Linked DNA regions of Schizosaccharomyces pombe. The main gene of each other region encodes a partner of the protein of the gene in region 2 in a complex. Each region holds a gene or a part of one and is shown on either strand. Other genes may lie near its edges.

Region 1 (14,118 bases), on a different chromosome or scaffold from region 2:
AATAAGATATGTTGAAGCCTTCAATACTGTTCAGTCTAATGGCGCTACGAGCGCAATTTCCACATTTCATATATTGAAGGATGAGATAATTCGGAGGATCCCTTTACTTCCGATTATTCAAGAGTTACGAGAAACAAGGATGTCGGAAGTGAGTGCTGAGGAAAAAATACTACTTTGGAATCAACTAAAATTCATGAGCTTGGTTCGAATGTTCACGACCTTAGCAGTTTTGGCACAGTGTAACCTACTCTGTAAACTTGCCCTTACGGTATTGGGACGGGAAGCTTTTAAAGAACAGATGGTCAAGGAATTTGATCCTTCTAATACGCTACGACCATCGGGATCCGATGAAGACCCGGCTGTTTTTACGGGAATTGCGTATATCTTGTTGAATAACCAACTTGATGAGTTGATTCAACAAGTACAATTAGCTGTTACTTTGACTTTTGAAGAGTATGTGTTGATAGTGCGTTGGCGGTAAATGTTTGAATCCGATTGGCGTTAATATATATGTGTTTTATCTTTCATCTTAATTTTTTAGTGCTAACACTTCGAACTAGGGTATCGCCGACGGATATAGTGGACCGCAAATTGATTGAAGCATTGACGACTCGTGTGGTCGAAGTATTTGTAAACAACTATCAGTTTTCTATCGACGGAAACAAAGAGGTACTGTTAGCTGAAATCCCGAAACAGTACATAGTTACAGGAAATTTGCTATATCGTGTTTTGGAACTAGAGGATTTTGCAACCCAAATGGATGCATCGATCGTTATGAAGAATGAGCTGATCGCTTTGAATGAACACATGTTGACTTATTTACCTAGCATACCTCAGGAAGGTATTCGTTTGGCAAAAATTTTGACGACGTTTACTAAAATTTCCGAAAACGTATTCGAAGCACCCTTCCAAGAGCAATTTTTTCAATCTCTACAAATGGTTTCAGATGTAAATCGCTACATGGCAATCGTATTTTCCAGTTTTGATGATTGTTAACTATTAAATATTCTACTATATAACAAACTGTGTCTACCCTGCCAAAGGTCCAGCGTATACCATGACTGAGCAGTGTCCTCTAGTTGCATGTTCAAAGCTAGTTGCGACGAATCTCTAAGTAAACTTTCGGTTTGAGGATGAGCCAAAGTGGAAACGTACTGGAAGGAGGTCAAAACATCTAAGCGAACAGCTGCTGAGCAAATCGATTTTGCATGCCCCAATAAGAACAGATAACATGTCCTTTCTAACGATAATCCCAAGGCTCTACATACCACACCCCAAACCACTGGGAAATGACCGAGTGCCTTTTTACTACGAACTCTTCTTTCGTACTCATCCAAGTATTTGAAGACATCGGTTGATGTAACGAAAAAGGAGAGTGATTTTGTCCAAATATTTAACAAAGATTTACCCTGCATGGTGGAGACCTTTTGGGCAATTGTGCATGTCTGTGTGCTTTCAAAAAAGTCTTCGATTTCGGAATATTGTTGCGGTGACTCCCAAGCTGCTTTGACAGTTGGCAAATTGGTATGTAGCACTGAATTGAGGGACAATGGTAAAAAGTTGAAAAATGCATTGACGTCTCTCACCTGCTGATGAGACAAATACGACTCTAACCCATACGAATAAGAAAAAGATGACAGAGGAAACGCAGTGTCTGAAAGAATTAGCGACAAGTGTGTTTCCGTTTGCGAATCAGTCATGATTGTAATGAAATTAGAAAGTGAAAACAAAAAACCACCAACTATAATCAGTAGTAGTAAGGTTGGATCTAAGTGTTTTGGAGAATAGAAAAAAAAGCTATCCCTGGGTGTTTACTTTTGCGAAATGTGTGTGCATATCTAGTATATAAAACGCTTTTTAGTATTCAAAAAAAGAGAAGAAAAGAGGAGTTTAGGAAGTTGTGAAAGTAAACTTTTAAACCCGATTCTCTCAGTAATTATCGAGCCTACAACTCAACGAAACGGTGCGACAAGAATAAAAAATGATGGAACGCTATTTTTTGGTATGTCTATACAGCATCAAAAGGTTGAGAAAACGGTTTTTAACCGCCTGGTATTTGGATGATAATTTGTAAAATACGAGAAAAGGTATCGTAGAAAAGAAAATGCAAAATGAACGACAAGAGGTGGTTAAATATTAAATATGAATCGTGTGTATGGTCAAATGAAGGACTAAGCAGAGAAAAATTTTTGCACTCATGCAGATCCAGTTTCTTCTTATCATCAAAGATCCTGCACCTGCAGTATACAATCAATCCATCGTTACTGGAAACAATATAGGGATGAAAATCATGCAACTCCTTATTATTGACATTCACTAGTGATCACTATTTAATAAATAAACATTTAAAAATAATGGAAAGGGCAAACAAGAGTCTATGAGAAAGGGAAGAGAAGCATGGATGAGCTTTTCATTTTCCAAGTCAATGATGCAAAGATTTTTTACTGAACATAGGACGAACGAATGTAAAAATTACACAACGTTTAGATAGTCCATTATAGTGGTGTTATTAAGTTCTACAATGGTACTTTCAAAATAACGATTTCTAAGTATGAGTGCTAAGTGAATTAGCAAAATAAAGCACGAGTGTGGGAATTGTAATTTGGGAAACACCTTTTACTGCAGTAATTACAACTTTCTTCATAAATGAATGTACTGAAAAGAGGATACAAAGGAAGATGTTTGGAAGCATTAAATTTACTGACCTCAGTTATTTCAGGAAAGGAAAAGCAAGTTTTGATAACTGTAAAACAATAACATATAGTATACAAAGTAAAGTAGAAAAGGCGCTGCTCAATTAAGTAATTCCTACTGGACTTTCTCACGAGACAATGCTTTAAGCATACTTTATAATATAAATTGCAATGCTTTTATTAATTTTAATACAGATGAGCTAATCTATTTAAATGACTGTAATAGACTTTCACTTCAGTTTTTACTATGAATACATATATAATGTTTTGCAATGAAATAAAAAAGGCAAATAAATGTCAGCATTAGAAACAGTAAATAAAAATTAAAAATTGTTTAAAAAAAAAGCAAACGAAGGAATTCATGAATGTTTACAACAACCCCACGAAAAATTCACATGGAAAGTGACAAATTTGTGCATGGAACAACACAGTGAGCTCATCCACAGTGAATAAAAAGAAAGTCCAAATAAAGGTTATTTTCGTTATAATACAAAGATGTCGTAAAGAACGACGATCAAAGAAAAACAAGTGAGCAAAAAGGAAACTCTAAAAAAAAGAGAGAGAGAGAGAGAGAAACTCTCCGAGTATGTGTGTGTGTATGTTTGAGTCTCTTTTGTGTATGCGAGAAGAGAAAGACAGCAGGAAAATAAAGAAGAAATAGAAATAGAAATAAAAAGTCAAAACTATTTATTGTAGCTCAATGAAAGCCAGTATCTCACGCTGACCAAAAAAAAAATGAAAAGAGAAAGAGAGCAGAAAAAAAAAAAAAAAAGTTATTGAAAACAAGAAACAATCAAAACCATCTATTTCAAGATGACATGTATGACAAAGAACGCTAGTCAAAAAAAAGGCAATTCATACAAAGAAATAAAAAAAAAAAGAGAGAGAGAAAACAAAGGACTCCTATAATCATAAAGCAAGATTACCAACAATGGACAGAGATGGATAAAGAAAACCAATGGTGGAACAAAGACAAAAAAAAAAGAAAAAGTGGAACAAAACAAAATGCGAATCAAAGAAATTGAACAGAAAATTGAGCAAAAAAAACTTTAGTTCTGAGACAAACAAACAAAAATTTTCATCTTCTTTAACTTTTTCTTTCTTTTTTTTTTCTTTTTTCTTTTATGTTTTTATTTCTTCCATCCATTATTGATGTCTCGTTTGAATCCCTTTCTTTCACCCACCCCTCTCTTCCTGCAGTCTTTTTCGTCATGCCATTACCCCATCTTTTCAGGTAGCATCGACTCAGCCTTGTGACTCCAAGTGTGGGGAAGCGAAGGCGGAGAAAAAAGGGATTAGGAAGGGTGTCGATCATGACGCAATGCCATAACATCTCTGATGCACAACACCGTATTATAGACTGACTAAGCTTGCCGCGGAAATCAATTAATTGTCAAGAAGGCAGAAAAAAGAAAGAAAGAATATAAAACAACAACATAAAGCAAAAATAGAAAAGACATAAAAAAAAGACTGACCCTCTAAAGTCTTGTTTCCTTTTTGTTTTTCTCCTGGACAATTAAAACGACGCTTGTTTTCCGTGCCATACTTGAGACTGCGATACCACGGGATGAACAGCCTCTTCTAAACCAACCTGCCATTTTCTCTTCTTTTCCTTCATCCATCCATCAATCATACTTCGTCCTGCTTACTTGTGTGCTCCATTGCATTATCACCAAACCCTCCTCCTCCTCTTGGCCTGTTTCGTAAACCCACTTAACGGATCTCGCCGAGGTACACACTCACGGAAATATGCTATATGGGTGGTGGAAGTGAAGAGGTTGGCGCCACGATTGCAGTGGATGACGATGCTGGATAACAATGGAGTTGCGGGTGAAAGGACGAGTAAGGCACACTTACATTCAATGTAGCAACCCAATACGTATGACATTTGGCCACAGCAAGGAGATAAATAGAAGGTTGGGCACTAAGAGTGAAAATTCCATTCCCAAAATACAGTACATATATATTTCATCCTTCGTAATAACAAATACCGAATCGTATTCATATCCACCCTTATTGATCATCAGCGAGTCAAGCTAAATTACCCACCCACTGACAATCTAACAACAACAATAACAAAACAAACAATAACCAATTGAGTTGAAAATTGTTATTGACAGTCCAATCCAATCCAAATCCAAATCAATTTGAAATTGAATTTCATCCAATACTAATTGACTAATCGAATTTCTTCAAATCCACCGCAATGGCAAATCGTTTTACTTCTAGTGATCAAACTCAAGAAACCCATGGTCATCATGTTGACAAACACTCCTTCTCCGGTAGACAACGCCATCCTTCGATGGGCGTTCATTCATTCAACGAATACATGAATGAATATCCAGAGGCCGGACCTTTGGTCCAGGAAGAGGAGGATGACATGGAGAGCTCCAGCTACCATGCCACTCAGGAAGATATCGGCGACGATGACTCCAGGTCCGAGTCTACTCGCAACCGTTCCAGTCAACATACTGGCCGTGTTAATTTCTCGTCTCTTGGCGGTCTTGGCAGCATCTTTGGAGGAAAGAAATCACGCTCCAAGAGCGCTAATGGAACACAAAAGAAAAATGCAAACAATAACGAGGAACAACTTGATGAGGAAGAGCAAAACGATCCTTATCTTGATAGGGATATAAGCCTTTTAGGTAGTACTATTTGATTGCTTTTGTTTTTTTTTTCTTACTCCCTTGTAATTTTTATTTTTTGATTAGTCATACCCTGACTGACAATGTTGCAGATTACATTTAATTATGCCATCCATCCCCTTTCACGTTCACTGCCATTCATCCCTCACCATGTTCCCCATACCATTCTTTGAGATTTCGAGACATGATGGCACGACCGTAGTGTTTGTGTATGTATGTGTCTTTGATGAGTTGTTTATGTTGTGTTTATGTTCAAGTTATGAGAAACGAAATACTCGAACCAAATCGAGTTGAGTTCTGTTTAGTATCGTTAAAAAGAGTTTGTTTTCTTTTTTTTTTATCAAATTAGCATTATATTTTCCTTATTTTGCATCTCGCAATGCTTAATGGCAAATATCTTTATACAATCTCCATTTGCGTGCGTATTTATTTGTATCTGATGAGCGTGCGTGTGCTTGCCTGCTTGTCATAATGTACATCCTGTATTACCCAGTTTGAATAGTTCAGTCGTAAATGTAAGAGTGTTATGCTAATATCTTTGTTTTCCTTTTTTCATTAAAAAAAAGAGGTGTAAAAAAAGTCTCATTATTTCTTCGAAAAGTATTCCTTATTGAAGTTTGGAACACAAGTGGTTATTATTATCGTAAAGTTCCTTCTTCCCTAGAAAAATACAAGTTCCCCGATATTTTAATCATTATTCATAAAACAAGCTACAGATTATGAAGAATCTTATCCACGTTATCAAGCATAAACTGAAGAGCCGTACTCTTTTTGGTAGCATGCTGTAAATCAAACCGATTCACCTTATCTCGCATTAAAGTAGGTGCAAATACTGTAGAGACATTTTTCGAGTTCATCAAATTTTTCTCCGCGTGCTTGCATACACGACCCAAATGTGCAATCAAAAATCGAAATACGCTCAAATGTGCAGGATGAAGCGTTTTCATTACTTCCACTACCCGTTCAATTTTTTCCTCTTCCTTTTCGATTTTTTCCGCTTCCAACAACTCCTCGTATTGAGTGCCAGGTATAACTGGTTCCGGTAAGCGATGCAAATATGTTTTCAAAACCGACGTACAGGCAAACAAGTCAGAAGTCAAATGCTCCATTCGGATAGACCCGTTTTCAAATTCGTCGACTAACACTCGGACCTGAGAAGCACTGCCAGATATCCTATAAATACCTTCAACCTCCAATCCATGCGCATCCACGCAAGAAACGCACATAGCAATTACTTGAGGCAAAACCGACCCTTCAATTTTCAATTGATTTTCTAACGATCGTCCAAACATCGTTGGTGAAGGCCCAGGAGGAGGCATCCTCGTTGGCATTTCCGGCATCCATTTACTATTTTCACTTACAGTTTCACTCATTGTTTTCTCATGCTCCGACTCTGCAAACAGCCTTTTTAAACACCGCGAATGGCATGAAATTGAGCAATGAAAGCAGCGGAGTTCAGATCCCCATACGCTCTCCGAGCATATATAACACCTTGAGGGCTTGAATATGGCATTAACATGAAACACATGGTCACATTGAGTACGATCTTCATTTCCTACTACAGGATCGGCAGACTTTGATTTAGTATGCATTGATTTGAACGGGACTTTACGGTTTACATCTCTTGGTTGCAAATGCATACTTCCCTTTTTTCCCTTAATGTCAATTCTCGTAGTCACATTCAAATTTGGTGACAACGGACCAGGTCGACCTGATGACTGCCCAGAGTTGCTACTCACGGCAGTAAGTGGATTAATACTGCTGGTTGTATTTTTGGAAGATGTGGTAATAGTATGCTCCAAATTGGATTGGTTTTCAGGAGGTACTCTATGCTGAATTTGTTTTACCAAATTGTTGTTTAAGTCGGCCAACTCGAGATTTTTGGTATTTAGGTGTACAGATGCTTCAAGCGATTCATTTAAAATTTTTTGTACATTATTGTAATCGTCAAGCAGCTCATTTCTCCTTTCCAAAAGATTGTTTATTTCAGTGCCGTAACTCTCACGAAGCATTGCCATGTAAGCATTGGCGGCAGCCACCAAATCCTGATGTTTCGGATCTTTCAGCGTGGGATCATCTGTCACATCAGCAAACGAAAAAAACTTTTCACAAATTTCAAGTTTAGCCGAACGAACAGTATCCTTATCTTCCGTACGAATAAACTTAGAGTTGTCAAACGTAGAACTTGAGAGCCTTTCGGACAATTTTTTGGTAAGAGCAGTAAGATTTTCCAACTGTTCACGCAATTCTTCAACATCCGAATCTCGCTCTGATTGTGCTGGAGTTGAAGAATGATCGTTTGTCGGTAAATGGTACTCTCCATTAGATCCCAGCGAAGGAACGAGTGTTTGCTGAGAAGTCTCAGAAAGAGAATGCGAATGCCGAAAACTTTTATGGCCCCCGCCATTTGGTTTGGGAGAAAGAACCTGAGGCGGTGAAAGTAGCTGCGCAAAAGATGAAAGGTCAGATGGCTGAGAAGAGGTTTTTTTATGGGTTTGGACATTCGGTGAGCGGGTTCTCGGTGAATGCGTATCACTCGACCTGTAAGAGGGAGAAAAAGGCCGAAAGGGAGAGGTGGCATTGTGAAGAGAACGCATATGTCCATTCATGACAATTGGCTCTGCTCGGTCAGTCAATGACATGGTTTTATAAGGAGAAGCAGAGCCAGCAAAGTCGTCCAGGGCTTCCTCATTAATTGTGGGTTTTAAGCTGTCCGAGGAAGAGCTATCGTTAACAGGAGTAAAAGATTGTTTGTGAAACGTATGGAATCGATTCTTCCAAGTATTTTTGCTTAACGGAAATGTGGCTGTAGGAGACTCAATTTGTTGCTGCTTGTTAACTTTTTGTAACGGAGATATAGAAGGTGAAATAGGAAAGAAAGAATCGTCATACTTCATCGGCGATTCAAAACTCGTAAACGAGGAAAAACTTCGATTTTTGGCACTAGGCAGCAGCGAATCTGCAGAATTAGACGCAAGATTACTATCCTGTCCATCGTTCGGCACATTACCCCCTTCTGCCTGACTCATGTTAGTCGGTGTTTCGCTAACTAAGCGGTCTCTGCTTCCACCAAAAGGTGATAATGGTGGCTTTTGAGGAGACATAATTTCAATGCTTAAAGACTTATTAGATTCCACTGAAGACTTTGTCTCTGTGGGCTTAATCGTGACATCAACCTCAAAATTGTGATAATCAGCGCTCTCGTCTGAAGACCTGGAAGGGTGACGGACTTGTTTACAATCATTACAAAATATAGTCCTATTATCTCTTTTAAAGTTAGAGTCAATTATTTGCTTTCGGCAATCATGGCAACGAAAACACTCTCTGTGATAGGAGTCGTAGCCTGACATTAGGGCATAGTCCTTGATCCTCATACGACACGCTGTACAGGTATGGGCGCAAGAGCTACACACCGGTCGTCCATCAGAGGTTTGCACCAGCATTTGATCACTGTGCTCCAATCCTTTATCGCACTTCGTACAGCAGAAGCAATCCTTATGCCACATATGACCCCCAAACGAAATAGGTGTCTCTCTACGTTGAAATGCCTGTCCGCAGCGAAAGCATACTGTGCTTCCCTTGCTTGATGGAGATTTGGAAATACTTTTTCGAAATATCATCTTATCGTATATATGCTCTTCTTATTTCCTGCTAAACGTTATGAACTTCAATCTAGCGTCATGAATTTGGCTTTGTTGATTTTTATTTTCACAACGATTCCTTTGGGTACCTATTTTCATTCCTCAGCTTCCCATCAAGTAAATGAAAATATTCCCAATTTTATGATTGAAGTTCGAAACAATTGGTAAATGGCTAAGGAATAATTATTACTGCAGTTGTTGGCATCATTGCCCAGTGGAGCGGTGAGAACGGCAGTAGCGAGTCGTTCACTCTAATCCCTTAAAATTTGCATGCGTCGTACACATGGCACTATGGTCTTTGGCTTGCCTTGCCCTAGCCTAGCGAAACACTATGGAAATTATCGCCGTGTTCTACGATATGGTGCGTAAAATTGCCAAAAGTCACATGGTTTATTACGGGAGTTTAGACGAAACGGGTGTTATGAATAGCTATTAAATACGATTATAATATTACAGATAATTAATTTTAATGGGTTTGGCAGCGTTTCCGCTCTCTAGGCTTTTCTTTCCACTCAAAAATGGTGATATTTGTGAAAAGGGAAATTGCCGAAATTAGAAGGAAAAAGGAAAATGAACTGTTTTTCTGGCTTAAATAGCTTTACCTTTAGAAAAAACCCGCTAAAAAATGGTTAAAGATATATACATTCCTGATCAAAAAACACAGAGGACAAAAAAAAAGAAAAAATTTCGGTAGCAACAGGAGTAAACAGAAGGAGAGATGCTTTCTAGAGAAAAAAATTTTGTAGACGTTTGTAGCGTGAACGGTCGGATCGTCAAATAAAGGGACAAGAGAAAATGCTCGTTTCCAAAAAGTGTAGAATTTATAAAATGTGTATCTCAAATAGCGGGGTCGCTATAATTGATTAAGTAACTATTGCTTTTAAGAAGGAAGTAAAGGCTCCTAAAAAAAATTTTTATAGTTGTGGTGCGAATATTGGGACAATTATACGGAAGAAAGCAATCAGTTTTTAACAAAAAAAGTTTCAGAATATTGTGAACACTGGGACTCATCATTATAAATGGCAATAACTGATTGCTATAAAGAGGAAGTATTAAATTTTCTTTCTAGGAAAAAACAAACTTGGCAGAAAATGACGATAAAAAGAAAGGATTGCTATCCAACACAGAGGCAGCGCTAAAAAACAATTTATGTTTTTGTAAAGGCTTCAAGACTGTAGTTCGAAAATGAAGACATCTATTTTAAAGGGAGTGACAACTCCCAAGAAGAGACAGGTTTTGCAAGTTTCCTTTCAGGATCTTCTGTACTATTTGGAAGATTAGACAAATCATAGGATATTAACCCTACATATCCGCTTTCAAGTTCAGATACGACTTCAGCTGCACCCGGGGCATGGGAAACAACTGGATCCTTGTAATAATAACATATAGGTTGAACTTCATCATCACTATCGGAATGTTCGTCAATGTTGTGCAAGCTCTTGGAAGTTATTTTAAGAGTCGTAAACACGTCGGAACCTTTTAACTTGTCTTTCATTCGCTTTTGAGCCAGCAAATTACTAAGTGGTATAGTTTCAAAAAGAGCGTCCTCTGTCGACATCTCATCGGTTAAATGCAGCACATATTTCCAAACAAAGCTTTCGTAGTTTTTGGATTGAATCATGTCGTAGGCTTCGACGCTGTCATCAATTTCCACAAGACTTTCTTCTGCGACACTTTCATCCATGAACATTTGAGCATTATCAGGATACTCAGCCTGATTAACAGATTTCTTAAAACCATTGATGCTAGTCTCATCGGCGGGTACAGAATCTACCTTGCGCTTTACATCATGTTCTCCAAGGTTACCATCGCTTTCATCTGTCGAATGTTCCTTAGAATCAAAAAACATGGTGTTTTCGTTATTTTTTGTCTTCCGTGCTCTGACTCGTCCTAATTTCAGTTTTGATTGTCTTTCATCAGATTCCATTATGTGTATATAATTTTGAAATTTGAGACGTTTGTTTCTTTTGTAAACATTCATCTTTTGTCTAGTGGGTAAATACTTCCAAAATCCGGGTATATTGAATCGGTGAAATCGTAAAAATTTGCCTGACAGAACAACGTCTCTATTCTTGATAATAGGTTTTCTATGAAAGGCATTGTTAGCCTCTAGTTTCCTAAACCTAGACTCCGCCAAAAATATAGATGTTCCGATTAATTCCTTCAACTTGCTTTTAATGATTTGTAATAAAAACTCCGTAGCGCCAGCAGAAAGTGGATTGCTTGGAAAAGGCGCTTGTCGATCGAAATGATAAAACCGTTCAGAAATCTTTCTCATCTCATTTGTATCAAATAAATCCTCATTTGAGGTTTTGTTTTTGACACTTTGCGCATTATAGTGTGAAGTTTCAACCCCTGAGATATTCGAACCCTCAAGAAGTCTTTCCGCAATTTTTTCTTCCCAATCAATCCAATTCTGACTCATTTCCATTGCAATAGGTATATCTTCATATTTCAACAAACATTGACTGCGCACGGATGCGTCTACGTGATTACGAAGCCAACGTAGCTCATTCTCTAAGGCATTTATGTAACGCTCGATCTGCACAGCGCTTTTAGAAGGAATGGAGTAAGCTATCAAATCTAAATCTCTTTTCCCATTTCGAGCAACCGCTTGAAAAAACAGTTCTTTTTCTTCTGCACTCCAGTAAGTTCCATCCACACAAGAGCCACTAAGAACGCCCCATTGTTCTTCTTCCAAATCAAAGTCACGCTTATTTTCAGTCTCAACTTCGTATTGTTGAAGGACGTCTAGGTATCGTTCATCATGAGTCATGTACAATTGCTCACTTGAGCCAATGATAGATGCAGTGCTTAAAGGCGTTGACCCTTCACTCTCATTTAATCCGTTTATTGAAGAAGACATGTTATTATTGAGAACATGATCAACGCTAATGAAATAAAAGCTGTTGCAGTCTTCTTTTTAATATTTTTTTGTTTACCACATTACCAGACGTGGTTTGTGTTCTGACAAAGATCAAACTCGGTATTCTAGTGAATTTCGCTAATATACTAAAATCCAAAGGAATATATAAATGTAGAGTATCTCTAAAATTTACGGGTTTTAAACATAATAAAAAAATATAAATCGTGCTAAAATCTAGCTTACCGCTTATTGAGTACAAATTTTTTGCGCATGTACAAACACCTTAATCAAAACTGTGAACAAAAAATTGAAAAAGGCTGAAATGCATATATCAGACCAAGAAAAACTCCGTATATGTAATGATCTCTTGTAAAGTAGTTTGTTAACTTCCAAAAATTCTCAACCTGAAAAACGAATGGACAATTGAATTCAAATATCATTTTATACCAACCATATTCATAAATATAAAAAAAGGGCAAGATGCGTCAAACAACGTGTGCTTGAAGTTCCTAATTTAACGTCTTATTTTCTTCTTTAAACGACGTATTTTTTCTTTTCTTCTGTCCTGTGTACGTTCAAATTTGCTCTCATACCGAAATTTCTTTTTGGCGGCATTTTTAGGCTTGTGGGGACGCAAAGGAACATCTGGTGGAGGAGAAATACGAGGCGTGACAAAACCTTCTTTAGGATAAGCAATTTCTTCATCATCATCGTCCTCTACAATTTCTACCGTAACATGCTTATCATCTTCGTCATACTCAGTAGTTTTAGGCTCCATTGATGACTCTTCCTCGCTGTCAGATTTAGATGAGGAATCTTCTTGCTGTGAAGATTCTTCATCATTTTCTAGCGAGCTATTCAACTCTTTAGAGAATGCTAATCGCTCAGCCAGTTCTCTTTTGCGCTGTTCTCTGAGCTGAATAGTGTTAGTGATATACTCAAGATAGTATTAGAAAAACTTACAGATTTCCTCAACGCTAAACGTTCTTCGCGTTTTTGCTGCTCCAATTGAACTTGAGCATGCTTTCGTCGTTCAACTTTGCGTTTATGAAATCCAGTTAAATACTCTCTGTAACAAGTTAGTAGCAATCCCTTTATGATATCCATACTTTCGCTTCTCTTTATCAAAGACGATCTCCTCCAATCTTTGCTTCTTCCCTTTCTTCCTGCTGTAAATCTCACCTCCACGGGTTAGTAGAGATGTATTATCCATGATGCAACAGTTCGTGAGTAGCTAGAAGAGAGGGACAATTTATGGGAATCTGTAGTGATTTTAAGTAAATTATCTCCAATTCTATCCAGTCTCGTAATGGTCCAGTAGATTTATGAAGACGAGAGGTACTGAAACCCTACTATGCCTTGTACGTACATTTGCACTACTAACTAGAAAATTATTTGCAAAATGCATCGCATTTGCCTTATATTATATACGGATATTGGTATAGTGCAGTAAACGATTAGTTGGCTATGCATTGCTTTCCTCTAGCTATTACACACAGAAACCAACGTGTGCCGAATGTTTTGCTCAATCAGTGGAGAAACGCCAAAAGAACCGGTGATTTCTCGTGTAAGTGGTATGTTTGTACAATAATTTCCCTGTCTGACTGAATGTAGGAAATGTTTACGAGAAGCGCTTGATTGAACAAGTTATTCGTGAAACGTCTAAAGACCCTGTTACTCAACAGGAATGCACGTTGGAGGACTTGGTTCCTGTAAAGGGTAAGATTTCCTTCTTTATTATTGAATGGTTAAGAATTTCAAGTAGCACTTATTTTTTTATACGTGGAGTACTGAATATTCTGAAATTGGTTTGGAAAGTAAAACCCTGCAATATTGGTTGAAGAACTCGTTTATTTTCTTTTTTTTGTTGATAATGTATTTTATTGCATGATTGATTTGTACTCGAAATTTTTTAATTTTACAGCTTTATATTTCTCCTTAAAAAGTGGACTATTTAGTGCATGTCAATATCTCGGGGCAGAAATTAGGAAGGTTTTTAGAGAATTATAGAACAACCTTGTCGGATTTATCAAAACAAATCTTTATCAAAATTAATGTGGAGTTGTTGAGGAAAATGTATTAATACTTTAGATTTTTTTTGGTTTTTGCTCTCCAATGCGATTTATATTTACTATATTTTGATTGTACTGACCATTCACATATAAAGCGAATCAAATCGAAGATAATTGCTAACCTTTAAACAGTACCTGATTTTGTTAGACCTCGACCTCCTTCTGCCACTTCATTGCCTGCATTGCTGTCTCTCTTTCAAG
Region 2 (7,699 bases):
ATTGAAACTTCAACGTTATTTGACTAAAACTTGTTAATTTACATGTCTGCAAGATTAATCCAGCATATTAAATAAATTAGTTGACTTATGTCAAACAAATAATACATTCTTGATATTATTAGAAAAAAAAAAGAAAATTGAATAACTTGTGAGAAATGATATTGTTATTATTTTAGATTATGTCCTTTGAAATACAATAACATGCTAAGGCACTTACTACTTAAGCCTTTATTACTTTAATGTGCTAACAATCTTCTGTATCCTTAGACGTTAAATTTTCCCTTATTAAAAAATAAAAAAATAAAAAAAAAATATAGGAAATGAAACAACCGCTGATGACTTATTCTGTCTTTTATGGCGATAATTTTCTGATCATTCACATGTGTTGAGATTTTTCGGAAATACTCTTCCATTACCTTTGATTTTAGCAAAATGGCTTGCTTAAAACAACAAATTTTTTTAATTAATCAAATTTATTTTAAATCTATTACTCGCTGCCGGTTGATATTATATCAAGCTAATTTTCATTTTATTTCTGAAAAAACATCCAAAATTAAAATCATTTTTCGCAGGAGCATTAGCGGAGGACCCTCAATGTAATGCTAATTTTTCCAAAACGACACTTTCTTTTATGAGGTCAGATAAACAACCCAACAGTCAGGTAAAAGGTATAAAGTGCTAGATTATAAATGAGTACATCCCAAAATTATTATATATTAACGAAATGCCCATCCATCAATAAAATTATTATATACAATAAACCAAAATCAACCAATGTGAAACAAAACAGTTTGCTTTTTTCCGTTTTTTTTCTTTGAAACACCCATCGTATTACTATTACGATTGGAAGAAGTATTTGGTGTAGACCCCCATGAATCAACGGGACGAGCCTGCTTTTTTCCGAGTTGAACAGAAATTCTCTTCGAGGTAGAAGGAGGAAGTGCGGGAAAATCTTCTTCAGATCTTGCATTTAACGCAGATGCACGTGCTTTGCGCACACCCCAAGAAGGAGTATTTGCAGCTGAGCTGTTCGTTGGCCTTGAGGTAATATTTGCTAGGTTTATAGAAGATGATGGAGCAGACAAAGAAGGCCCATCGTGAGCTGCTGCACGCTCAATACGATTCCAAACACTAGCTGTTTGAGCAGCAGTCCTATTTGATCTCTTCAAGCGCAAAAGATTAGAGTTAGTAGTACCTATACGAGTATCATCTTTCGCATTCAGTATTTTCCATTCCTGCCAAGCTTCCAACAATTCCCTTGACTTCTCTTTATTTTCTAGAAGATTTGCTATTTGGTTGAACACGCCCGACAATTGCTCATGAGGCTTTGCAACTAATTTTGTAATGCGAGCAACAGCTTCACGAGCGGGCATAACATTACCACGGAAGGAAGAAACAGCAAATTTAAAGTCATTAATTTTGTGATCATCGTAATTCGTCAATTTTTGCATCCGATCAATTACTTGTTGGTGTTGTGCTTGCTCGGAAGAGGCCATCGGGGATTTAGTGCCCTTGGGTGGAGATGGAACATGATTTCTTGAAGCAGACTTACCAGACAGACGAGGCGCGGAGACAGGTACTGAGGGTGCGGAAGAGCTATTTTGATTAGCAACCTCGGCTAAAGAGGGGAAATCTTCGTTTCTTAACGTTCTAGTTTTTCCTCTGCTGATGGTTCTAGTAGATGTCGCTGGGCGGGCAGATGTAGGCGCCGGATTTGATAACGTGAAACCAAAATCACGATGGCGAGCTTGTTGCTCGCGAACATATTCTTCTTGTCGTAAGTGAGCAATCTCTCCACGGGAAAGGTGTAGGTTAGAGAGTGAGTTGGCAGTCTCATTCACTGAAGTAGATTGTTCGGATGGTGTGGAAGAAGTTCGTTCACGACGGTTCCTGCCGGACGCGCCGGGTGGGTCGTAACTAAATTGAGGAATAATTCTTCGTGCTTCTCGAAGTTCGCGTTGAGTAAAGTTGTGGGGATGCTCATCCAACTGATGCGCTTTCAAATCTATTTCAGTTCCAAAAACAACAAATTTACGTTCCAAACACTCCCTTTCACGACAAATATAATGATCTTTTTCAAAGTGGCGCTCTAACGAATCATAATTTTTAAAGTACTGATGCGTCGGCCTTCCTGCAACTTGGTCACAGATGTAACATCGTTCATGTTTTTCACGGCAATGCTTAAACAACTCATCATCATCATAAAAATGGGTATTACAAAACTCACACTTCGGGTGACCCTTGAATCCAGTAATCTCTAAATCGGATCCCTGATCTCCAACTTCATTGTGCTTTGTCAATCCTTTCTTGGAAAATAGCGTGTGTTCATGGGTAAAAACCTTTTTGTTCTTAACACAAAGATCACAGAAAAACTTATGGTGTTTGACCTTCGCATGCAGCTTTAAATCAAACCAGCCTTTGCATGTGATATCGCAAGCGTCTTCTGGACAGTTGAATTGAAGCAAGAGGTTGGATTCTTCTTGAGCATGCTCGTCAGAATACACAATTCCAAGTTTCTCATCTTGGAAAGGAAGTTTTGCTAAATCGACATCATGAATATCGATTTCATGATCTTTAGTAATGAGAACCGTATCCCATTCGGTTTTACAAAACGTACATTCCTTCGTTTTGTATAGCGCTCGCAATCTCAAAGCACAAACATGACACATTCCTAATTAAGTTAGATTAAACATAGTTGTAACATTTTTAAAACATGATACAAGACATACGATGATTGCAAGGAAGGACGCAGCTGTAAGTAATACCTTCAGCACAAATGAAGCAAATTTGCTCATCCTCATCCTGTTCTTCTTTGGAAGCATCAACAGTAGCGACATTACTGACAGGATCTGTGCCAACCGGCTCTAAGCAAACTGCATTTTTTGGAGTTTCTACCGACCTAGAGCTTACCGGTTTCTCTTTACTTTCTTGAAATGTGTTAAAAGGAATATGTCAACAAGGAAGTTACGTACGATTCCTATTAGTTTTTTTATTATGAGTCCTAGAATTCTTTTTTTCCGATGCTCTGTTGTGCTCCTTATTATTTAAATTGGGGCCCGAAGGCGACATTTTGATTGTTTATAGAAGATTGCGTGTATGGCGCTGGGTAAATAAAATTTCGTAAAGCGAGCTGCTGTATGCTAAAAAAAACAGTTTAGCTGGAGACCTCTGAATTAGCTGGAATATCGCAAACTAAGAATATATTTATAATTTCAACATTATTGGAAAGTTTTTAAGCTTCTGAATTGATTTTTGAAACGTGCATCGAATATTTTGTTAGAAACGTATATAGCATTGAATGTACAGCGGAAGTAAATAGCAATCTCTTATAAAGGGCTTATATAATTTACTAATTTGTTTTGAAAAAAATATTCCCCTAACTTTTTCGCCATAATCTTTTTACTTTGTGCTTAAACAAGAAGTCGTGTATGTATGTAAGCAAGCGTTGTCCTGTCTACAAATAAATGCAATTGTTACAACTGTTAAATGTGGCTTCATCTAAAGTGTGATTGGATCTTTAGAAGTCGTAAACACCATGAAATGATTCAATCAATAATAAGTATATTCATTAAGGACTAATATAAAAGAGAAGAACACTTTCCACTCAGTCTAATCAATTTATAAGTCTTTTGACGGTTATAAGCAGCAATCTTCCAAAAAAAAAACGACCCACAAGCACACAAAAATGTTTATGTAAACATACTCTAACAAACGGATGACAGGTTTGCAACCCCAAAGAAAATCCCAAAATAAAATAATAAACAAATTAAAAAGACAGTACATTATTTGAGACTTAAAAGCATATATCCAGAAAACATCCATTTGCGTATAATTTAATATATACACTATAGACACAAGACGAGTACTAGTCATACAACCAAGCCATATCTTAGATCATCCAAAACTGTAAAGCAAACATCATATTATGGGTTTGTAATACGCAAGGGTAGTAAATAAAATTTATTATTGATGATATGGCTTCGACAGCTCCAAGCGACGGTGGTTTCGTAAACAAAATTCCCCGACAATGGGCTGAAGTGAATCATTTTTTATTTCAATGATATTATAGAGCAAAGCAGCGGTAAAATAATTAAAGGTGCGGTGAAGAAAGTGTTAATACAATACATGAAAATCTCCATCATGCACAACAGTTCATTTAGAAAAGAAAATCAATATGCTATATGAATTTATAAAAAAAAGCACAAAGATATCCATAAGGAATAGGTGATAAGAAATATTCGTAAAATCACAGTCAGTCTAACGTAAATTACCTCTTGTAGCAACCCAAGGTCTAAAGTCAGCAACCTGAACTTTTGTTTTCACACTGCATTTAAGATCAGAAAGTTGTAATGCAAAATACGATATCTGATTATGCGTGGAGACTCTCTAGACATACATAGCCTCTAGTATTAAAGCACGGATATGACATGGACATAGGCAAAATCTGTTGAGGAAAAACAGGTAAGCAAGCGAGTATTGAACGAAATAAACATTTATTGCATGCAATGAAAGCAAAAAACTTGAATGATTTTTGGAGACAAAAAAAAAAGGGATTATTGCAAGATATTATATGAAAAAAAGTTTTGGCTGTTTTATATGGTCATGCAGCAAACACAAAGGCTCAAGCGGTGGATTCGGCGGTAGGAGGCTCGACCAACTCTTTTTCCTCCTGCTTGGGAAGATCGTTCGGAGCCGCTGGTTCTTCATTTTTAGGCTGAGGTTTGGGCAATTGATCATCAGGAATCTTCGTCATGAGATTTGTTAAGTACTATTAATTAAGTTAGCTTAGCTTCGGCAGCAGGTAACAAAGAGCAATGCGGAATGTTTTCCACAAGTAACCAAATGAAAAAAGTAGACAAGGAAAGTTACAATCGACAAAGTAAAAGTTTGTTGACAAACCTCCTTAAAACAATTGTGAACCCATCCATGATTAACTTACCTTGTTCATGGTAAACATATGCAAAGTGTCGACTTCGAAAACGCTTTTCAATTTGTCATCACAAAGAATTGTTCGCTTGTCGTTGGGATCTTGTAAGTCATGTGCTTTTATATACTCCCATAACTTCTTCACAGTTTGGGGACGAGATAACTACGTTAGTTAGCAATCAGCAGAGAAAGCGTGCAAATAAACATTTAGTATGTAAGCCTGCCTCTTTTTTCAAAACAACAAGATTTTGAATGGAACGAGTAGGCACGGCTTCCACACTACAACACCGCCTTACCTGTTCAAGACCCAAAAATTCGGCCAACTTAGGGGACAACTTCATAGGCTTATTCAGAGGATTGTTGGCAGGATCTTGGTTCCTCTTGCGTTTTCCACCCTCTTCTCCATCTTCCTTGCGTTTTCGGGTTCTCTTTGCTGGTTTCTTGCCTTCTTCAGTGCCATTTTCCGTCGCTCTCTTACCCTTGGTTTTGCGAGCGGGTGCTTGTTTTTCTACAAGTTTGGTTAATTATTATTTCTTGCATTATTATTTGCAAATTTCTTCCAGCAATATTCTCATCTTACCTAAACTCTCCTTCTCTGAAGGTGCGGCGGTTTCATCAAAGCATTTCAAAATCAGCGCATTCAAGTCTTTTTTATGCGCACTCAAATCTACCTTTCTTCTTTCTTCTAAAAGTTGACGAACTTGCTTCGCAGATACAGTTTGGCGATCAACTGTACCGAGAATTTGCTTAATGTCTGTTTCGTACTCTTCCATCGTTCTAGTTCTTTATACTACCACCTTACTGTGTTGGTCAAAGTATGGTGTAGTGAGACGGTGGTAGTGGATATAGATTACGGTAAAGAAGGAAAGAGCGCTGGTGTAGCTAAATGCGATTTTGAAAAACACGCTATTTTTACAGATGTAAATACATAAAGCTTCAATTTAATTTCTTGTAAAACTAAAAATAATGGAAATTATATATGTTATTTTGTGCTCTCATGTTAGCTTTGTTTACTATTAGAATGCTGCTTTTTGTAAATAACTGAACTTAGCCAAAACCAACACTTGTTCCAGTATGAGCGTTGGGAACGTTGGCAAGCAAAGGGAGAAAACAAAAGATTCATCAGCTAAAACAAAGCAGAAAACCCTCTTTGGGTTTTTCTCCAAAATCCCGAATGTGAAACAAGAGAAGTCGGATTCTACATTATCTAGTAGTTCGAATCACGACTCTAATCATGATACGCCTGCTGATGTTGACAACAGCTCCAATGTGAACAAAAACTCTTCGTCTCCGGAACGCGAATTGCCAACGAGTCCTTCTCATCATGCGAATACCGAGATAGATTCCAGTTCATCTATGCTTCCTCCTCCATCAAGTGATCCATTTTCCTCACCGCTTTCTAGCAGCCTACACCGATCATCTCCTAAACGCCCTCATGATTCTTTGGGCGAGGAGTCACCAGGTAAATTGCTTCGCACGTCTGTGAAGCAAGAGCCCGACTCTGAAGAAGAAATCGATTCTCCGACGAAAAAGAAAAGTTTTAAAAGTTTGGATACATCAATATTTCAAGCTGAAGATCAATTTCGTCATCCTGTCTCGTCGAAGCTGGAAAATTCGGAATTATCTGAAGTCGACAAGCCTTTTATAGCTTCTCGGCGTTCAAGGAAGGTATGGGTAATTGAGTGATACATATTACTTTAGAAGAATAAAAGGGGAAATACGCACTTTACCCCTATATTAACCAGATTTTTGTTTTAATTAATTATGACTAACAATATGCTAGCCTGTTTCCTACGCTGAAAGTGATGAAGACGAAGACTTCGACGATGCACCTACCAAAGGATCTCGTCATAAAAGAATCGTTTCTGATGACGAATCGGATGACTACGTTGAGCCCGATCATATTTCGGAAGCCTCATCTGAGGCATCCTTGCCTATTGATGAAGTCGAATCTATGGATGAGGATGTTGATGGATATTCAGATCATTCCGTTTCTGTGGCTGCTCCAATTCCCAAAAAGGAATCTCGAAAGGAGAGTTCCAATTCTTTGTATGAAAGTTATCGGCTAGGCTCTCAAATTGCCAGTCCAAGCCCTTCGGTCTCGGGTTCTGCATCTCCCACAAAATCGAATAAAAACGGTGTCCTGAACAGAGAAGAAAAAAGAAGGCAAAGAATGGAGGCATTTAAAAAAGAAAACAACGAACGTTACGAGTGGTTGCTAGATGTTCGAGATGCTGATCAAAATCGAGTGGGTGATCCTAATTATGATCCGCGCACATTGTATATCCCACCTTCAGCTTGGGCAACTTTCAAGCCATTTGAGAAACAATTTTGGAAAATTAAAAAGGACCTTATGGATACAGTTGTTTTTTTTCAGAAGGGAAAATTTTATGAGTTATATGAGAATGATGCCGCTATCGGACATCAGGTATTTTCCTTAAAGTTAACTGATAGAGTTAATATGAAGATGGTTGGAATTCCTGAAGCAAGTTTTGATTACTGGGCATCTCAATTCATTGCAAAGGGGTATCGTATAGCTCGAGTCGACCAATTGGAAACCGCTTTAGGTAAAGAAATAAAAGATCGTCAACGAACTCAGAAGGAAGAAAAAGTAGTTCAGCGAGGCCTTACCCAAGTCTTAACGAGCGGGACCCTTGTTGACGAGGCAATGCTGACTTCTGACTTGTCAACATATTGTATGGCTATTAAAGAAAGTCTTCAATCTGACAACGAAGAGCCTTCTTTTGGTATCTGCTTCATTGATACCTCGACT

Evidence for each region.
Region 1: spp27 (region 2) and rrn5 share a complex: the UniProt entries of both Schizosaccharomyces pombe proteins name them as parts of the UAF (upstream activation factor) complex.

What each region holds. Positions count from the first base shown.
Region 1 is NC_003424.3:5,119,881-5,133,998, forward strand, and holds rrn5 (RNA polymerase I upstream activation factor complex subunit Rrn5), read right to left. Parts: upstream 11,952-14,118; 5' UTR 11,846-11,951; coding exon 10,175-11,845; 3' UTR 9,384-10,174; downstream 1-9,383. Other genes in the region: pex3 (peroxin-3 peroxisome import protein), read left to right, coding at 7-453, 561-996; urease accessory protein ure6, read right to left, coding at 993-1,700; SPOM_SPAC29A4.22 (uncharacterized protein), read left to right, coding at 4,512-4,733; protein mug108, read left to right, coding at 4,900-5,352; Rho-type GTPase-activating protein Rga3, read right to left, coding at 6,049-8,958; rRNA exonuclease Rrp17, read right to left, coding at 12,360-12,761, 12,809-12,914, 12,955-13,058; Prp19 complex subunit, ubiquitin-protein ligase E4 Prp19, read left to right, coding at 13,362-13,419, 13,460-13,564, 14,050-14,118. UniProt on the Schizosaccharomyces pombe protein: Component of the UAF (upstream activation factor) complex which interacts with the upstream element of the RNA polymerase I promoter and forms a stable preinitiation complex. UAF seems to stimulate basal transcription to a fully activated level.
Region 2 is NC_003421.2:1,829,983-1,837,681, reverse strand, and holds spp27 (RNA polymerase I upstream activation factor complex subunit Spp27), read right to left. Parts: upstream 5,700-7,699; coding exon 5,507-5,699; exon of another isoform or gene 5,435-5,506; coding exon 5,223-5,434; exon of another isoform or gene 5,090-5,222; coding exon 4,940-5,089; exon of another isoform or gene 4,886-4,939; intron 4,769-4,885; coding exon 4,622-4,768; 3' UTR 3,513-4,621; downstream 1-3,512. Other genes in the region: hel2 (ubiquitin-protein ligase E3), read right to left, coding at 768-2,671, 2,730-2,927, 2,973-3,069; msh6 (DNA mismatch repair protein), read left to right, coding at 6,001-6,594, 6,710-7,699. UniProt on the Schizosaccharomyces pombe protein: Component of the UAF (upstream activation factor) complex which interacts with the upstream element of the RNA polymerase I promoter and forms a stable preinitiation complex. UAF seems to stimulate basal transcription to a fully activated level.